Linked DNA regions of Saccharomyces cerevisiae S288C. Changing the gene in region 4 together with the main gene of any one other region gives a genetic interaction. Each region holds a gene or a part of one and is shown on either strand. Other genes may lie near its edges.

Evidence for each region.
Region 1: mutations in SPO1 (region 4) and SRX1 together harm fitness more than expected from each alone (negative genetic interaction), as found in Saccharomyces cerevisiae (one large-scale study listed by BioGRID).
Region 2: of SPO1 (region 4) and ATG26, extra expression of one rescues a mutant of the other (dosage rescue), as found in Saccharomyces cerevisiae (one study listed by BioGRID).
Region 3: mutations in SPO1 (region 4) and MPF1 together harm fitness more than expected from each alone (negative genetic interaction), as found in Saccharomyces cerevisiae (one large-scale study listed by BioGRID).

Annotation. Positions count from the first base shown.
Region 1 is NC_001143.9:275,953-279,164, forward strand, and holds SRX1 (sulfiredoxin), read left to right. Parts: upstream 1-2,328; coding exon 2,329-2,712; downstream 2,713-3,212. Other genes in the region: phosphopantothenoylcysteine decarboxylase complex subunit CAB3, read left to right, coding at 1-1,046; cytochrome c1 heme lyase CYT2, read right to left, coding at 1,237-1,911; malate dehydrogenase MDH1, read left to right, coding at 3,171-3,212. UniProt on the Saccharomyces cerevisiae protein: Contributes to oxidative stress resistance by reducing cysteine-sulfinic acid formed under exposure to oxidants in the peroxiredoxin TSA1.
Region 2 is NC_001144.5:529,997-536,026, reverse strand, and holds ATG26 (sterol 3-beta-glucosyltransferase), read left to right. Parts: upstream 1-1,633; coding exon 1,634-5,230; downstream 5,231-6,030. Other genes in the region: MMR1 (Mmr1p), read right to left, coding at 1-813; ATP-binding cassette permease MDL1, read right to left, coding at 5,640-6,030.
Region 3 is NC_001146.8:351,963-357,046, forward strand, and holds MPF1 (Mpf1p), read right to left. Parts: upstream 3,081-5,084; coding exon 858-3,080; downstream 1-857. Other genes in the region: YNL146W (uncharacterized protein), read left to right, coding at 1-55; MFA2 (mating pheromone a), read left to right, coding at 452-568; YNL143C (uncharacterized protein), read right to left, coding at 4,832-5,084.
Region 4 is NC_001146.8:607,528-612,272, reverse strand, and holds SPO1 (putative carboxylic ester hydrolase), read right to left. Parts: upstream 2,588-4,745; coding exon 2,483-2,587; intron 2,399-2,482; coding exon 608-2,398; downstream 1-607. Other genes in the region: YNL011C (uncharacterized protein), read left to right, coding at 1-437; HEF3 (translation elongation factor EF-3), read right to left, coding at 2,820-4,745. UniProt on the Saccharomyces cerevisiae protein: Regulates spindle pole duplication in meiosis I, but not in mitosis. Required for meiosis I, meiosis II chromosome segregation and spore formation. Binds phosphatidylinositol (4)P mono- and polyphosphates.

The DNA.
Region 1 (3,212 bases), on a different chromosome or scaffold from region 4:
ATTCGGTATCGAGTGGTACGAGCAATAGCGAAGATGAAGTAGATTCACCTTCGATGGAAAAAAATTCTATCGTTCATATGCCAGGTGATTTTATCTACTTCAATCCCAAGTCAAACGCTTCTAAACCTATCACTGCAAAGGCGGCGCCATTATCGGCTAATAACTCCACACATAAAAACAAGGAAGTTATCACTGCACCCACAGGGCCTCGTGTACCCTTCACAGAGTTCTTTCAGAAGGAAGACGACAAGAAATTCCACATTCTCATTGGTGCGACGGGCTCAGTTGCCACAATAAAAGTACCTCTAATTATTGATAAACTTTTCAAGATATATGGGCCTGAGAAAATCTCTATTCAGTTGATTGTCACAAAACCCGCTGAGCATTTTTTGAAAGGGCTCAAAATGTCAACACACGTTAAAATTTGGAGGGAGGAAGACGCTTGGGTATTCGACGCTGTGAATAAGAATGATACTAGCTTGAGTCTGAACTTGATATTGCACCATGAATTAAGAAAATGGGCTGATATTTTCCTGATTGCGCCTTTGTCAGCTAACACACTTGCTAAACTGGCCAATGGTATATGTAACAATTTGCTAACTTCTGTGATGAGAGATTGGTCACCACTGACCCCAGTGTTGATTGCGCCTGCAATGAATACATTCATGTATATCAATCCTATGACAAAGAAACACCTGACGAGTTTAGTGCAAGACTATCCGTTCATCCAAGTTTTGAAACCGGTGGAAAAGGTATTAATATGCGGAGATATTGGTATGGGTGGTATGAGAGAATGGACAGATATTGTAGAGATCGTTAGGAGGAGAATCAATGAAATACGGAAAGCTAGGGACGAGGAAACTGGTGATAAAGAGCAAGAACAAGAAGAACAAGAGGGTGCTGACAATGAGGACGACGATGATGAGGATGACGAAGAGGATGAGGAGGACGAGGAGGAGGAAGAAGCTCTAAATGAAACAGCATCCGATGAGAGCAATGACGAGGAAGACGAAGAGGATGAGGAAGACGTGAAAACCGAAGTTTAAATGCATTAGAAAAGAGTATTTTGTGTTATGTTTTATGTTTTATTTTTTTTTTTTTTGTTTATTCCTTAAAAGAAGATTACTGCTTTTTCATTCCCTAGTTTCTAAATTGAGTGCCTAAATAAGATTAAATAAATATGTATGTGGAAACTAGGGAGGGTATGTTTTTATTTACAGGAATAGTTGTAGTAATTCAAAAGCCTAAAGATTTCCAGAACCGTAATCTAAAGCCCTCAAAACTGTTTAATTTTGGTCTAACATCGAGATAAATAAGTGGTTGTTGCTGCGAGTTTGCATCGTTCAGATCGGTGGAATAGAAATCGATTACGTAGTCGACGGTTTTACCGCATCTATCTATCTGCCAATCATGTCTATCAAAAGGTTTGGCCAGGTGCAAGATACGGGACCTGAACCAGGCCCTTGGTGTCAGTTTTTTGGAATCACCTTTAAAATTTGTTAATTTGATACCGCCACACGCTTCACCACCCTGCTTGTCTTCCCAGCTTTTAATGTAGTTCCAAACCCGCTCATTGATGGAGTTATGTAAAGGCACAACCACCTTCATGTCATCTGAGTTCGGATCCCAATTTTTTTTCATCATTGCCTCGTAAAATTGTTTCTCCGACGGGTATATCCAGTTTCTGTCAGAATTCGTCCTTGGTATGGTGGAAACCTCTCTGGACTGAGAGAGATCCACCGTGGTGTGATATTCAGGCGTTTTATCGTTATCTTGTGGGTTTGCAGAGCACTCTAGTTGATTGCCTGGGGCAGTAGCACCAGGATGCGCTTCGTTGCCATGTTCTCGTAGCCATAACTTTTTGGTTTCCTCATCTACGGGGCATTTCCCCTGTTGGTCTGAAGACATCATAATATGTAAAATAGAGACGAATGAAAAGCACGTGAACTAACAAACTATTTACTACTACCGAAATGTGATGCTTAAGCCTTTGGCCTCTGCAATACTAGCGATTGCTTTTTCCCTGATTAGTAAGCTACATCATTTATACTACATCTTTCTGTCTTAGAAGGCTTACAAACATCGAAAAGCTGGAACTTTGATTTCGAAAAAAATATGCCGTTACCCGTTGCGGGTCCCTTTTTTTTAGAAGGCCGGCCCAGAAGTCGCCATTATTTTTAGTCATTACAGTAGCCCTGTTGGGTAAGGATGCGATGCAATACATGTCAAGAGGTGTTGTATATAAACCACAATATCTACCATCAATGAGCTATATATACTTTTCTTACTGAAAAAAAAAACTACAAAACCAAGTAAAAAAAGAACAATATGTCACTACAAAGCAACAGTGTAAAACCAACAGAAATTCCTCTCTCAGAGATCAGACGCCCCCTAGCGCCTGTGTTGGATCCTCAAAAGATCGACGCAATGGTGGCCACAATGAAGGGCATTCCCACCGCTAGCAAGACATGCTCTCTAGAACAGGCTGAGGCGGCTGCCTCAGCCGGGGAACTGCCGCCCGTGGACGTGCTGGGCGTGCGAGTCAAGGGACAGACGCTATATTATGCCTTCGGCGGCTGCCACCGTCTACAGGCATACGACCGCCGGGCTCGCGAAACGCAGAACGCCGCCTTCCCCGTGCGCTGCAGGGTGCTACCGGCCACTCCCCGCCAAATCCGCATGTACCTGGGCAGCAGTCTCGACATCGAATAATGATTACGCTAATAACACTACATAAGAAACATAGATAAATTATAATTCACTAATACAAAATCCCTCAATTTAATTAATCAATTTCTTATTCAACAACTAGAGTAGGCACTAGCAGTTTGTGCGACCCTCGGCGCCGGAGAGGTACAAGGGACCTGGCGGTTGGGCCTTCCTGCCAGCTTCTCCCCCCCTTCTCGGCATTCACTCAGCGTTCATTGGCTCAATCACGCGCCAAGCGGATTCCCAGAAAAATACAAAAAAAAGTTGCCATAATACAATGGCGGATATTACAATATATATAGCTTGCGCTTTAAAAAGAAGTGTTAGCACGCATTGGGTGTTTGTACTGTATTCCTCCACTTAAGATAACGAATACACATATAGATATACAATATATTATACGTGGACATCTACGGAAAGGAAGAAAAAAAACAAAAGGAAAAGGAAGGATACCATATACAATGTTGTCAAGAGTAGCTAAACGTGCGTTTTCCTCTACAGTT
Region 2 (6,030 bases), on a different chromosome or scaffold from region 4:
CGTAGACGAGATAAAGCTATATCTGTTGTTGTTGTTATTGCCTTTGAGACCATATTGAACGAACCCGTTATTATCCGTAGGTAAATTGTCTAGATTCAGATCCTTAGGCAATTCGTTCACTTCGGTGCTTAGACACTGAGTGGAGCCGCCGGAGACGACTCTAAGTCCTTTGTCCTCGACCTTTCGCACCCCATGATTTTCTGGATCTTCCAAAGGAGTAGCAGGAACAGGAACGTATGAGGGGAGCAACCCTTCGGCGTTTTTCCGTAATATCGGTTCTTCCGCACAGACTTTGGCCTCAAATGAAGGGGGATTGCGTTCTTTCTTTTGTACTTGCGCAACGGATTCTGAACTGCGCAGCTGCTCTAGTTTGTCCTTGATGCTTTGTTTAATGATGTTTTTCTCTATGTTCAATGGATCAGGGTTTGAATTCTGGCCTTCACTAGTAGTTTTCTTGCTATTCTTCAATAGGGCAGATAGCAATGGCAGATTACTGGTTGTTTGAGATAGGTACTCGGGTTTTAACATCTTTGGAGTGTTGTTCAAAAACTGAAACCTAATAGGCGATACAGACCTCATAGTGTCAGAGCCCCTTCTTTGTTTAGAACGTCCACCTCTTGATAACTCGCTCAATTTAGAGAGTGATGTTGGATATAACAAGGAATTACCAATCGGGCCAGTGTCTAATTTTAGCTTCGTAGGTGAGTTCAATAGATTTTGAAAAGAGCCTGCATTTCTTTGGTCATCCAAACAAAAGGACATTGGTGAGAGTTTTGGAGTAAGTTGTTCCGATTTCATTGTTGGAGAATTCATTTTTTTAGTTGTTTAGTTTATTAGTTGTGTTTTTTTTTTTTGATTTTGCAATGAGTACTGGCTTGTAACAAGTTAAAAGAAAAGAAGATTAGTTAAGAACAACGGAATTGAAACGAAAGTAAAATAGTTGGAACCGAGGATAACTATGTTGATTTAAAAGACTTCACACGCGATTCTTTTTCCTTACTGCTATTTAGGAAGATGTGCCCCTCCAAACCTTTCCTTTATTCCCAAGGCAATCAAAATAACAGAAAATACAGCAGTAATAAAGCTTAATTCTCTAGGCTCACTTAAACTGAGCAACAATTTGTTGATCGTACGTGTTATTTAATACTATCAGGAAAAAATAATCTAAATGTGAGAAAAACTTCTATCTGTAACCACTTTGTCTTGAATGAACGTAGAAAATTTAAAAACGATCAAGCTTGCGTGAGAGAACTTGTAAAGTAAGGAAATCTGATTTCTAAACCCATAATGATTCTTCATCGAGCTTTCTTGCCAATTGGCTAATTAGAACTCTTTTTAGTTTATTTCCCGAAAGGGGTATTTATATTTTGCCCGTTTGGGACAAAATTAACCCTGCTTACACCAGGGTTTATCTAGAAATAAAATAGGTCATTGTTTTGAGATGACTTGGAAAAACTTAACCCTGATGTGACTGTAACATAACATCTAAGAAAAAAGGGACTAAAAGTCAACAGAAGGAGTAGATCGGAAAGTCATTGCATTTATCACTGATAAAGTCATGGCTGTCAAAAAGTAAACATCAGAAGTTCAGTTGCACTTTATGCTTTGGTGAAAATCCGTATAACTTAAAAGAATGCCCATCACTCAAATCATATCAGCGTCTGATAGCGAGGCGGGGCCAAAACCAAGCATTTCGTTGGTACCTGATAAGCCATCTGAGCCAGAAACTTCCCCTAGGCATCATCGCCTTTCAAGGTCACTTTCGAAGTTCAAGCGCTGGAGAGGAAGATCAAATAGCAGTTTATCGATGGGGTCGTCTGAGCAGCAAGAACTGCAGGACAGTCCAAATGAAGCCCGTAGTGATGATGACGAAAACGGTTACAATAACGATAATGCAGATGACTTGGCGAAATCCAAGTATATGATGAAAAGTATTGCCGGTTTATTAACTACTGCTAGTGTGTATGCAGGGATGAATAATGCTCAAGAAATGAATGTGTTGTCGCAAGTTGATTCTGAAGAATCTGATTCCAGTGATAGTTTCCAGGAAAACATTGGTCGAAATGAGGTAAAAAGCAAAAAGGAAAATCTCAAAACTAAATCGCATCCGGAAGTACCAAGATTAGACAAAAGAAAGCCAACTTTATTCGACTTCTCAATAACTAGGGAAAAACTGTCAAAAGACAATGTGGCTAAGTTGAGACAGCGGTTTTGTTTAGACGAACAGGAACCATTTTTGAATGATTTCCCTGCATGGCTACTTAAAGATGTGTTGGTTCAAGGCCATATTTTTATTACAACAAAACATTTCCTATTCTTTGCATATTTACCTAAGAATCCTCGGTCGGTTAAAATGTCTGGAAACCTTAATATCAGGACAAAACTAATTAGGTCTACCAGGTATTGGTGCGTACTAAAGAATCATTTATTTTCTATGTATACCTCATCAACTGAGCTATACTTTCCGGTTTTAACCATAGATTTGAGGGAGGTCCAAAAAATTGAAACACAAAAACATACCTTAAACGGGAGTGCTACGAAAACATTTAAGCTTTACACAGATGAAAGTACATTCAAATTCAATGCAGATTCAGAGTTCTCCGCTAAATCGTGGGTGAACGCTTTGAAAAAGGAGCAGTTCGCAGCTCAGAATTCTGAAAACAATTCGATAAGTTTAAAAATTCCGCTGCCCAACATTATAGAGATAGATGATCAACCTATAGTCAACAAAGCTTTAACATTGAGATTAAGAGCTTTGGAGAGCTCACAGACCTATGCTATCGATGATTTCATGTTTGTTTTCATGGATGGGTCCGGTAGTCAGGTCAAAGAGAGCCTTGGCGAACAGTTGGCTATATTGCAGAAATCCGGTGTTAATACACTTTATTATGATATTCCAGCCAAGAAATCAAAATCAAGTTTTGGAAAAGAGACACCAGCTACAGTTGAGCAAAAGAATAACGGCGAGGATTCAAAATATTTGAATGTTCCAACTTCGGCTGTGCCTTCTTCGGAAAATGGGAAAAAGAGTCGATTCAGATTTAGAGAAAGAAGCAATAGTTGGTTTCGTAGAGCTAAACCTCTTGAAGATTCTCAAGTTGAGGATGTGGAGGAAATATATAAAGATGCGGCGAATGATATAGACTCTTCTGTGCATTCCACGATTCATATTCATGAACAAGAAGATAGTCAAGAGCAAACCGTAGCTTGGAAGCCAAGTCACCTCAAAAATTTTGCCGAAATGTGGGCTGCCAAACCAATACACTACCGGAACAAGTTTATCCCGTTTCAAAAGGATGATACCTATTTGATTAAAGAAACAGAAGAGGTTTCTGCTAACGAGCGGTTCAGGTACCATTTCAAGTTTAATAAAGAGAAGTCACTAATCAGTACTTACTACACATACCTGAATAGAAATGTTCCCGTTTATGGTAAGATTTACGTATCCAATGATACGGTGTGCTTCAGATCGTTATTACCAGGGTCTAATACATACATGGTTTTGCCATTGGTTGATGTGGAGACATGCTATAAAGAAAAGGGATTTCGATTTGGTTATTTTGTATTGGTTATAGTAATTCACGGTCACGAGGAGCTATTTTTTGAATTTAGCACTGAGGTCGCCAGGGATGATATTGAACGCATTCTTTTAAAGCTCTTAGATAACATATATGCAAGCAGTGCAGAAGGATCGAATATATCGAGTGCTTCTCTTGGCGATGTTCAGCATAACCCTGACTCAGCGAAGTTGAAGCTTTTCGAAGATAAAATTAATGCCGAGGGCTTTGAGGTACCGTTAATGATTGATGAGAATCCGCACTATAAAACAAGCATAAAACCAAACAAGAGTTATAAGTTTGGATTATTGACGATTGGCTCAAGAGGGGATGTTCAACCATATATTGCACTTGGAAAGGGCTTGATAAAAGAAGGTCACCAAGTGGTAATAATTACACATTCGGAATTTAGAGACTTTGTTGAAAGTCATGGAATCCAGTTTGAAGAGATTGCTGGTAACCCAGTGGAGTTGATGTCCTTGATGGTGGAAAATGAATCAATGAATGTTAAAATGCTGAGAGAAGCTTCGAGCAAATTTAGGGGATGGATCGATGCTCTTTTACAGACATCTTGGGAGGTTTGTAACAGAAGAAAATTTGATATTCTGATTGAATCACCCTCAGCTATGGTTGGTATTCATATTACTGAAGCATTGCAAATTCCTTATTTTCGAGCATTTACCATGCCATGGACAAGAACAAGAGCATATCCACATGCATTTATTGTACCAGATCAAAAAAGGGGCGGTAACTATAACTACCTGACACATGTCCTTTTCGAAAACGTTTTCTGGAAGGGAATTAGTGGGCAAGTAAACAAGTGGAGAGTTGAAACTCTAGGTTTAGGGAAAACAAATCTTTTTCTTTTACAGCAGAATAATGTTCCTTTCTTATACAATGTTTCTCCTACAATTTTTCCGCCATCAATTGATTTTAGCGAGTGGGTGAGAGTTACAGGATATTGGTTTCTTGATGATAAGAGTACTTTCAAACCGCCAGCAGAATTACAAGAATTTATTTCTGAGGCAAGATCAAAAGGAAAAAAATTGGTTTATATCGGGTTTGGTTCGATTGTAGTCTCTAATGCCAAAGAAATGACGGAAGCTCTTGTCGAAGCAGTTATGGAAGCAGATGTATACTGCATTTTAAATAAGGGATGGTCAGAAAGGTTGGGCGATAAGGCGGCAAAGAAGACAGAGGTAGATCTTCCAAGAAACATTTTAAATATCGGAAACGTTCCCCATGATTGGTTGTTCCCACAAGTCGATGCTGCCGTTCACCATGGTGGTTCTGGAACTACTGGAGCTTCATTACGTGCTGGTTTACCTACTGTTATAAAACCTTTCTTTGGTGATCAGTTCTTTTATGCAGGTAGAGTAGAAGACATTGGAGTTGGTATTGCTTTAAAGAAACTTAACGCTCAAACATTAGCAGATGCTTTAAAAGTAGCTACGACGAACAAAATAATGAAGGATAGAGCTGGATTAATAAAGAAGAAAATTTCCAAAGAAGATGGGATTAAAACTGCAATAAGTGCAATTTACAACGAACTTGAGTATGCAAGAAGCGTTACTTTATCAAGAGTGAAAACTCCGCGCAAGAAAGAGGAAAATGTAGATGCAACCAAACTGACACCTGCTGAAACAACGGATGAAGGGTGGACGATGATTTAAACCGAGTATCACTCTCACTTTTATAAAAAAGCGTAACATCTAATCATTAATAGTAATAAATAATTAATTTTTTTTTTGTAAGTTTCAGTCATATTTGTACTCAGGAAAGATATGAAAACGATAATGTTGATAATAAGAATAATAGTAACAATAATAAAAAAGTAAAAAAATAAAGCTTAATTTGAGTTTCCTAAACGTACCGTATGTTGTGCATCTAATATTAATTTAATGTGTATAAAGGCGTACAAGGAGCTTTAAAAAAAAACTGTTTGTGTAAATTACATTGGGCATCATTTAAATTATAGAATACACAATTTCATATTCAGCAAACATAATGCGATAATTAATTGTCTTCCAACACATACCATAACTGTGGCATAGAAAAGTGATTCCATACTGCGGCAACTTCTTATACTTCCCGGGCAACACTATTGTCCAAATCTATCACTCCCCCTTTTCCTTCCTCGTCCTGCTGTTCGGCAAGCAGCGCATTTAGTTCACTATTAGGAATGGCGATTAGATCTCGGAATGAACCGGTTTCAACCACTGAGCCATGTTTTCCTAACACAATCACCCTAGTACTGTGTTTGATCGTCGAAAGCCTATGTGCAATTGATATAGTAGTGAACCCCCTTTCCACACGTCTCTGAAGATTTTTGGCAACTATTTCTTCACTTTGAGAGTCAAGGGCACTGGTTGCTTCATCTAAAATAAGGACGGCAGGATCTAGTAAAAACGCTCTAGCTAATGCAATTCTTTGCTTTTGACCACCGGACAATTGCGCGCCTCTAGCACCAACC
Region 3 (5,084 bases), 260 kb from region 4:
ACTGTTTATTTTTTTATTTTTCAGTTTCATCATTACTATACCGTTTATGGTATAAATTAGAAAAGTTAAAGCAGCATGTTTTCATTTGAAACAAATACTAATGCAATAATAGGTACACCATCTACTACATAATTAATTGATAGTTTCCTTTTCCGTTAAGTGCATGCATAGGACGCCCATAATTTTTTAAGTTAAAAAAGCATGTATTTACCTATTCGGGAAATTTACATGACATGGATGCCATAAGGAACGAAAATGAAACATGCATGTCAGAGGAAAAAGAACAAAGCGAGAGGAAAAAGCTGTTGCATTACCACGTAATTTTGTATATAAATATCTGATAAATAACCATTTTATTTCCATCCACTTCTTCTGTCGTTCATCCGTTCATTGACATCACTAGAGACACCAGCGAGCTATCATCTTCATACAACAATAACTACCAACCTTAATGCAACCGATCACCACTGCTTCCACACAAGCCACTCAGAAGGATAAATCCTCTGAAAAGAAAGACAACTATATAATCAAGGGCCTCTTCTGGGATCCCGCCTGTGTTATCGCTTAATTTTTGACGACAACCAAGAGGTCAAATCAATATCTACCCTTTCATTTATTACGTGTTGCTGGCAAACTAATTTATTCCAATTCTCTCATCATTAGCTCACCCTTTCCATACTTTTTCATACTTTTATACATATGTATTTGTAGTTATCACTTTAACAGATTTTTTCATGTTTTTCTTTTCTGATACGCCTTTCCCTCCGCAGGAAATGAAAGATGAACCACCCATTACATTCGATTTTTTTTTTAATTATATTTTTGACTATTATTTAATCATTAAAAACACATATATTTCATAAATTCGTAAGGTCGTTAGTTCTATCGTAAAAGTGAAAAAGTTTTGAGCCAGTTTTCAAAAACCCGCAGGATCCCACTATGTATGGCTTTAAATAATGGTTTTTCACGTGCATCAAGTCCGTACTATCTTCACCACTATAAACTCTTATAGGTGGATTATTCGTTTCGAATGCTGGTGGCAGTGCCGGTTTGAAAATAATCTTACCTACCCATGGGTGGTCTTCCGTTAACGGTTTGATGCATCTTAATGAGTCTTTGATATATCTTTTCCTTGAAACTAGTTGTGTCGCCGGTGCCCACTTCGAATCGTTACTGGATTGATTCTTATTTCCACATTTTAGTGACAATTTCTTTGGAAAATCATGATTTAAACAACCAGTCACGGAAAAGCTTTTCGTACTGAATATTGTACCGTACTCAACGTCCGCATTCTCATAGCGAGATTCTCTTTCATCCAAATATACCAATCTATTGATGTCATCATCCTCAACATATCCATCTTCATCATCCTCTTCGTAATTAGCATCGTCTTCGTCTTCGTCATCATCTTCATCTCCATTTACATCTTCATTGCCACGGTTTAACTTTTCTTCACGATTCGTACGCTCAGCAGAATTCGAAATAGTTGACCTTCCTGTTCCCTCGTATACCGGTTCAAAATTATTAATTTTCAACACTGACCGATCACAGCGCAAAGGATCTATAGGGTTGGAATTCGATCTACTTCTGAAGTTTTCATGGATGGATGTTTGTGCCGTTAAAACAGAATGTGCTGTGGGAGAAAAAGTGGAAGATAGAACAGAAGTATTGGTATTAGTAGTACTACCATTGTCATCGATTTCTTCTTGAACACTATTCAGTTCCTTCGATCTCATTTTTTGTCCAATGTCCATATTAGAGTTTTTTCTCGAACTGGAATCTGTTTTAAAGAAATTTCTTAGTTTTGATGTAAATAAGCCACAAAAATCAGTTTGAGAACTCTCCCCTGCCAATGAACCAGAGTCATTGGGCCCATTGGAGTCATGACTCGCATCGGATACAGAGGGAGGTAGCAAGCTTAAACTTCTTGATCTTGATTTGTTTGTCGGACGTTCGTTGCCGGTGGCCACTTTTGTTACAACAGAAGAGGTGTGTGATCTTCTTAAAAGTAAAGAGTGGGAGCGAGAATCATTTCTATCACTATTTTGTCTGCTCTTGTTTTTGTTTTTGTTCTTATTGTGTTGCTTAAATCTTCTTGCCCTCGGATGTCTCCTTCTGGGAACGCTTCTATAGGTGGGCATTTCCCTCAATTCCAGATCCAAGGACAGGGATATACCCATGTTCAAATACATAGCCCAATAGATCAATTCGTCTACATGAGAAAACTGCACTAGAAACTGTTGTCCCTCACAACGCATTCTTAAAACAAAATCTCTAGAGGAATAATCTATAGGCAGACCAACTTTGGCACATTGCAGGGAGTAACTCTTAAAGAGGCGCTCATCTGATAAAAATTTGTGCTCGTCTCGTGCTATTTCCCCGCATATCCTTTCCTTGTCATATTTATCGAATTGGTAAGTGGATTTCGTCGTGAACGCATTTAATAACGACCGAGCCGAATGATGGCGATCGCTAGCAGTTTTGGAATGGTGGGAATGGTCAAACATGTCACCACCACGATAGTTTTTAATATGCCTGGTTAATGAATCGTCAATAGAATAAAAGTTTATCTGCGTAGAGTTTATTTGAAGAATAAAGTTGTTCCATAATCGAGAAGAAGCATTTTCAAAGGGCGATAGTTTTTCCATCTTCATAGAAACCACAGTATAGTGTTCTACAGACGGTGTATAACTGGGAGGTTTCACAGAAGTGAGGCACGGACGACAATGCTCATATATAGGGTACCTAATGACTTTAGACGGATTCGCAAAATCATAACACGGAGGTTCCACTGGGTACGGATCTATGCAGTAAAGCACGTTTTTGTCAGCAACATCAACATCTACTCCGGATTGTGGCTCCACTATTTCGTTCATGATGTTTGTGTTAATGTCTGTTATGCTATCGATATGGTTAAAAGTCACTTTCGGAAGCGGAGAATCCAGAATAGAATTACTAGTAGTACTGGAACAAAGAAACTCGTCGCCCATGGATATGGATGAGGCTGTCTGTGAAAGCTTCAGCCCCGTACTATCCATACCGTCGTGGTCTATTGTCATTTCAAAGATGCTGGAGGACATTTTCTGAATAGGTCCGTTTATCTCTTCTGCTGTCTGCGAAAACAACGTAAAAAAATAGTGCTTAGTGTTACTGCCTGTGTAACAACTAGTGCCAAAGTTACAAAGAAACTTCACTAACAGTTTTTGCAATTTACCAAGAAAGCACCAACAAAATAAATAAATAGCATGCCTGTATATATTACGAAAAGTCCTTCAACTACGTCTTCCACTTGCTCTATCCCTTGGCGGAAAACAGAATACATGCAAATTTTAGAGAATTTTTCAAGATGCCTGCCCCCCACATTTTCTTACTTGATCAAGAGCAGATCTGTTCCTTTGCGCAGGGGGTTGCATGGGGGAGAAACTGGCCGGAAGCAGCCGAAAGAAAGTTCGCAAAAAGATAATGGGGACAGTATTAGAGAAAACGGCGTGGAGGGGTATGGAGGAAACAGTTAGCATAGGTAACGAAAAACCGCAGCAAAATAATTCTCTCTTTTTTTCTTTTGACTTAGTTGTGGGACCCGGATCATTCGGTACTGCATCTTATTCCCGTGCCAAGGTCTCTGGGTGTTGCTGATTTCCGGGTATCCAGAGCTCTATCTGCTTCCGTACCCAGTGAGTGAGCTAAAATAAAAAAGGGGCCTCGGCGGAATTTGAATTCGGGTTACGTTTCCCACGGAGCCCCGGATAGAAAAGATTAGTTTCAGGTACATGTGTCAAATGAGGATAAATCTCAAACACCCATGTACCGAAAATCGATGTGTTGGTTATATTACAAGGTTGGAATAGACCACGGTGATAAGACGTGGAATTTTTGACTGACCATGCGACTCTGAAGGTGTTAACCGGAGGAATTCACGTAATTTACATCTCAAGAACAGCAGAACAAAGATCGAGTATATGATGAAATTTCGTTTTACATGAATAAAGTCATATTTTAACTCACTGTGCACGGATTAAGGGCTGTGATTTAGTGGGACGAGTGGTTCTACACTACTCAAGAAGTCACGCTGTCATTTGATGGAATTACAGTGCTTATTAGGAGCCGTGTAGCTTAGTGTGAATTGATGGAAGCTTTCGAGTTTCATAGAACATATCTGGTGAATGTATATGAGTTTTTCATTCCTTTTACGAGACGCAACTTTCCGCGGTTACGGAACTGTTGTTTTGTTTTACATCTTTTCATTTTTCATACATTTTATTGAGGCGTAGAAATGAAATGGGTAGAGCGGCACATGGATGTAACAATCTCCATTATTCACGTCGAGCCGATACCCGCTTCTGTTGACGCTCTGTTAAGCATAGAACCTACGAGATTTGTGCTAAAGGACGTTGGCAAGGAAGAAAACTATTGTTGATGACAGGATTTATAGCAGTAAATATTTTTTTCTTTTTTGCGAAATTATGTACGTTTCTCATCCAAGAAGAATCCTGTTAATATTTAAATTTCTGCTAGTCATTATCATATTGCAATGGCTTTTATTAGTGAAAGCCACTGTCAACAGTAACTGAGCTACTCCCTCCAATGTTGTCTAACTCTATGCTCTTTTTGGCGTCTGAATGAGCCATAACGAGGGAAATAACTGTATCAGGAATACTAACAGAATACAGATTGGATGCACTGGTGCTGGTGAGTTTTCTTTTTCTGATATTATTGGATAATATTTTCAGCTATAGACTATCATCATTCAGCATTGGTCACGCTAAAATATACGTTCCATGCATACGTGATAGCCTACTCGGTTGTCAACTTCATTTTATAGGCTGCCTGGTCACCGATTACCGCCCCGCTCAGCAGGACGGTTTAAGCTTCTGTTCTTGGAAACGACGTAATTCATGTCGGCCATCGAAATCATTCCTGGCTTTGTAATAGTCATAATGAACAAGGAATGCTGTCTTGGGTTTTTTTCCCTTTGCGAATACCCGGGCTGCCAAAATAGAAAAGGAACAAATGGTAGGTCTTTAAGATAAGAAAGATAAGATAAGACATCTTTTTTTTTTTTTTTTTTTTTTTTTTTTTTTTCC
Region 4 (4,745 bases):
CCAAGGTGAAAAAAGCTGACATGGTCGTTTATTCTATCGGTTCTTTAATGACAAGTTTACTCCCAATCCTTATTCTTGGTAATCTTGCTGAAGTAATTTTGGAATCTAATAATACGAAAAAAGTTTTGCTCATAAATAATAAATATGATAGAGAGGTTTTTGGTTTAGACGGTTTACACTACGTTCAAATGATCATAGATTCTATGAGTAGGGCAATAGCAGGCTATAGGCAATCTAAGGGTGTCCATTCAGAGAATGATGACTTTGAATGGCAAGATTTTATTACTGATATTGTTTACCTAAAAAATGGTGAAATTGAAATTGATGAAACGATATTCGAGAAGCATAGTATTAGATGCCACCAGATCGCGTCTTCGGATAAGATGGAAAGTGAAGAACTTGAAAAGGTTCTGAATCAAATTGGCCTTAAAAACTGATGCAACTATGTCGCTCATTAACGGTTATTATAGTGAAGACTACATAATAAAGACATAGATAATAAAAAAGAATCGCGTTTGAACCATGTTTTATTTAACCATATGGCATAGAAGAAAAGTAAAAAAGGTGAACAAAAACTCATTAAATTTCACAGAAAAAGTCTACTCTCTTATGAGTAACAGTAGTCTTTAAAGCATTGTAAGCAAAATGGCGAAAATTTCTTTTTTCTTGGGAGCCTGTCCATTGTTCTTTTGGTTAATATACAGCCTAAGCAATTTTTATAATAAAGGTCATAATCATTGCTAAACACTCCCCTTCCAGTGGGTAACATACTGCTAACTTCAGACTGATTGTAAGTTATTTTGAATGTCGACGTATTAGATGCGTTTCCATGATTCGCATTGGCATGATAAATTATAATTGGCAAAAATGAATCATGTCCAGTTCTTTTGGTAGCATTGCATCCTATAACAATGGGGTGAGTGAATGTTTTTACATTGTTCGGAAATTGGTAATGAACGTTCTCTTCATCTAATTTTTCGAATATCCTTTTTAACTTGGAGCCGTTTGGATAGTTGTCAATATCCGAACTAGAATCCAGAACAAAAATTACATCTAGTTCCCTTTCAGGAATCACCAATGTTCTGAGTGGAATATTCTCGCCGTCTTCTCCGCCGTCTACAAGGTATAAATGATTTTTGTTAGTTAGGACATTGTCTTTTTCAGGATAAAGATAAAAGGGATTGGGTTGATATACGGCATAGTCTGTCTCTAATCTCGAGGAGTCTTTCGAAATACTAAATATTTCCTCTTTACCTAGGCCAAAAATTCCCATAACCATATTCAAAGCTTTCATTGCTTCTCTGGAGGACTGAGAAGCCAAATTCCAGATGAAGATGAGCACATTGTTGAATATTGAAGAAGACGTCGCAGTAATAAAACCTAGATCATCAAAGTTATTAATACACTTCTCGGCCTTTCCAGAAACAATTTTTGAGCCCAAATAGGGCAACTTGACGAAAAGTCTGAGGATATTTTCCCAAGATCCAAATTCAAAGGGCGTAAATTCAAATATAACGTTTGAAAGAAGTCCATTTTTGCAATTTGCAACGAATATTGGGATCGGCACACTGCATTCCTTAAATTTTTTAGACGAGTTTACAAGCTTCGAAAACGAAAAGGAATGGTTGGGATCGTCATCGAAATTTTTTTTTAGTCTTTGAACGATTGCTTTACCCCAATAATCGGTGAACGATATTTGGAAACCCTCCATTTTTTTAGGCTTAATTTTCAAATGCAAACTTTTGTAAAAGTCTAGCACTTTTTTAAAGGTTTCAATCTTCGCATCAGTTCCAGTGAAAGTGTTGTTAGGAAAGAATATTTTTTTTAGTCTTGCTAATGGATTCAAGTTTCTCTTCGTTATCATATAGTCTTCTGGGATTTCTTCTATGGAATTCATGATCTCCTCTATTTGTTCATAAAAATTTGAAGAGCTTGTAATCAGAGAACCCCCCTGACGCTTCTTCATCTTCAAATCATTATCATTATACTCCTTTTTTGCATTGGTAACAATTTCTTCTTCGGAAATATCGAATTCCGGTATGCCTAATAAAAGATCCTCTTCAAGGTCCCACTCTTGTAGCAGGGATTTTACTTCAAAATTTTGAACTACCAAATCCATCAAGATCCAACTTCCGCCTGATAATCCAGCAATATAATCCGAATATTCAAAAAGGCCATAATCGTTCATTTGGGAAATAAATCCGGTACCTACTAACATGGATCTGTACCCGCCGCCAGATATAGCAATCCCAATTTTTGGAGGATCTTTCAACACGCGTTTATAAAACTTCGAACTAAACTTTGCCTCTGTCAAGGATTTTAAAAACTGAATCAGTTTATTCTTCGTTTTAATTTTTTTTTTCTTCAGATACAAGGTTTCTTCTGGACAGAGTTCATGCTAATAAACAAAGGAATACGAAGTTTTGGTATATTCGGTTAGTTTTGGCCCATATTTGTTAAAGTGGCAAAGAGTTTAACTTACTTTGGCCTCCCTAATAAGTGGAGAGCTAGGACATTGTACCTGAAATGGTGCTGTTGCTAGTACTACTGTCAATAACACAGAAAAGACAAAGAGGAGTTTTTGCATTATTTTGGGATATTTATGTCTTTACTTAGGTTTTTTACTTGTATACTTTCTCTGAGTGCATTTACTTAAATATGGTTGTATAGCCGCTGAAGTATGTTTTTTTTTACCTTTCTTTGTGAAAATCAGTAATAGAAAATAAACATAAAAAAAATAAAAATATAAAAAAAGAATAAGGATGTTAACTTCAAAAATATATAAGTTACTCACTGAAAGAGATGTACTCGACTTCAAATTAAAAATCTTCATCAGAAGAAACGTATTCATCACCCATCTCTTTTTTCTTCTTCATTCTCTCCTTCTTTTTCTTTCTCAATTCTGCAGAAGAGAGTTTGCTTTTTTTCTTCCCACTATTAATCTTGTTACCCATAGCATCAAATTTATCACCCTCTTCTTCTTTTTTCTCAATTCTTGGGCCAGCACCTTGTCCTGCAACCCAATTATGGCCAGAGGGTGTCATTTTCCCATCCTTAACCGCCCAAACTTCGTCAGTCAGATTCTTAGTAAATTCTGCCGAATGCGTAATAATAATGACACCACCTTCAAAAGCTTTTAATGCTTTTGAAAGAGCACCCAATGAATCTCTGTCCAAGTAATTCGTAGGTTCATCTAAAACAATCAAATGGGGTCTTTGCCACGTGCAGGCAGCGAGTACCAATTTAACCTTTTGCCCACCCGATAAACCTCTAATTCTTGAATGTGAGACTAATTCTGAATCCAACCCCAACATGGCGCAATGTAATTCAATCTCTTTTCTTGTTAAAGCCCTGAATTGACCAGAAGCCAAAGCTTCCTTCATATCAATTTCAGCAACCATTTTAGAATGGGATTCAATCAATTCGCCCCTTGGTAGCCAAGCATTGTCGACAGACATCATTGGAACCCATCTTTCAGATTTCATACCAATGTTCTCACCTAACAAAAACGAACATTCGTACTCATACGTGTTTTTAAATTTCCTTCTTGAATGGATTCCTGCAACCCTTCTTGGGGTCCCTTCAATTTTAAATATTTTATTCATGGCCTCTGCGTCATTTTCATTTATTTGCCTATTTGCTCTATCCATTGTTTCCCTATCCTCACCAGTTTGGAACCTCCATTGAATGTATTCGGATGGAGTTTTGTCTAAGTGCGATTCAATGTGTGCAAAAGCGTGCTGCTTAATATACGCTATACGACAATTCTCGTGTGTATATACTTCACCGCTGGTTGGTAACAGTTCACCAGTAAGAACATTAATTAAAGTGGACTTACCAGCCCCATTAGGTCCGATAACTGCAATCCTTGAGGATAGAGAACACTGGAAAGTAACATCTGAGACTTGTGGTTTAGTTGTCCCTGGATATTGAAAAGTCATATTACTTACTTTAACAATTGCCTTTTGCTTCGTTTTGACACCTTCTAGATAACCAGGAGTTGGGAATTGAAATTCAAGGTCAGAGGCACCTAATTCATAGTATGATTGTGCCGTAGGACATTTTTGAACAAATTCTGATAAATTACCCTTGTACTTTCTTAATTTAAGACCCTCATAATGTATGATGTATTGACAAACCTTATCCAGAAAACCAGAATCATGAGAGACAATCACCGATGTAATTCCGCAAGTATTCAAATAATTTACCAGCCACTCCACATTAACAGTGTCTAGATGATTTGTTGGTTCATCCAATAGTAGAATGTCAGCGTCCTTCAGAACAGCCCTCGCCAAAGCTAATTTCATTTTCCAACCTCCAGATAGGGATGCAATTGGCATTTCTATCATTTCATCGCTGAACCCAAACTCCTTTAATTTCGAGGTAATAACATCCTTAGTTCCTACATTGCCGGAATATACAAAATCTAAAACGGACATGTCCGAATGTGTATTATCGATATCGTGTTCCACATAAACAGTGCGACATTCATCCTGAGTGGGGAACCCGTCAACTTGGCCATTAGCAATGGATCGCATTAGAGTGGATTTTCCGGCACCATTAGGACCACATAGACCATATCTCCTACCTCGCTTCAACCTCAATTGAGTCTTGTTTAGTAATATTTTGGCACCATATGCCAAGGAAAATTCACAATTACACAAATCTTCACCCTCATCCTCTTCGTCTTGGAAATTCGGTCCAACTGGAATATTATCTACTGCCCTTTTCCTGAAATCGTCTAG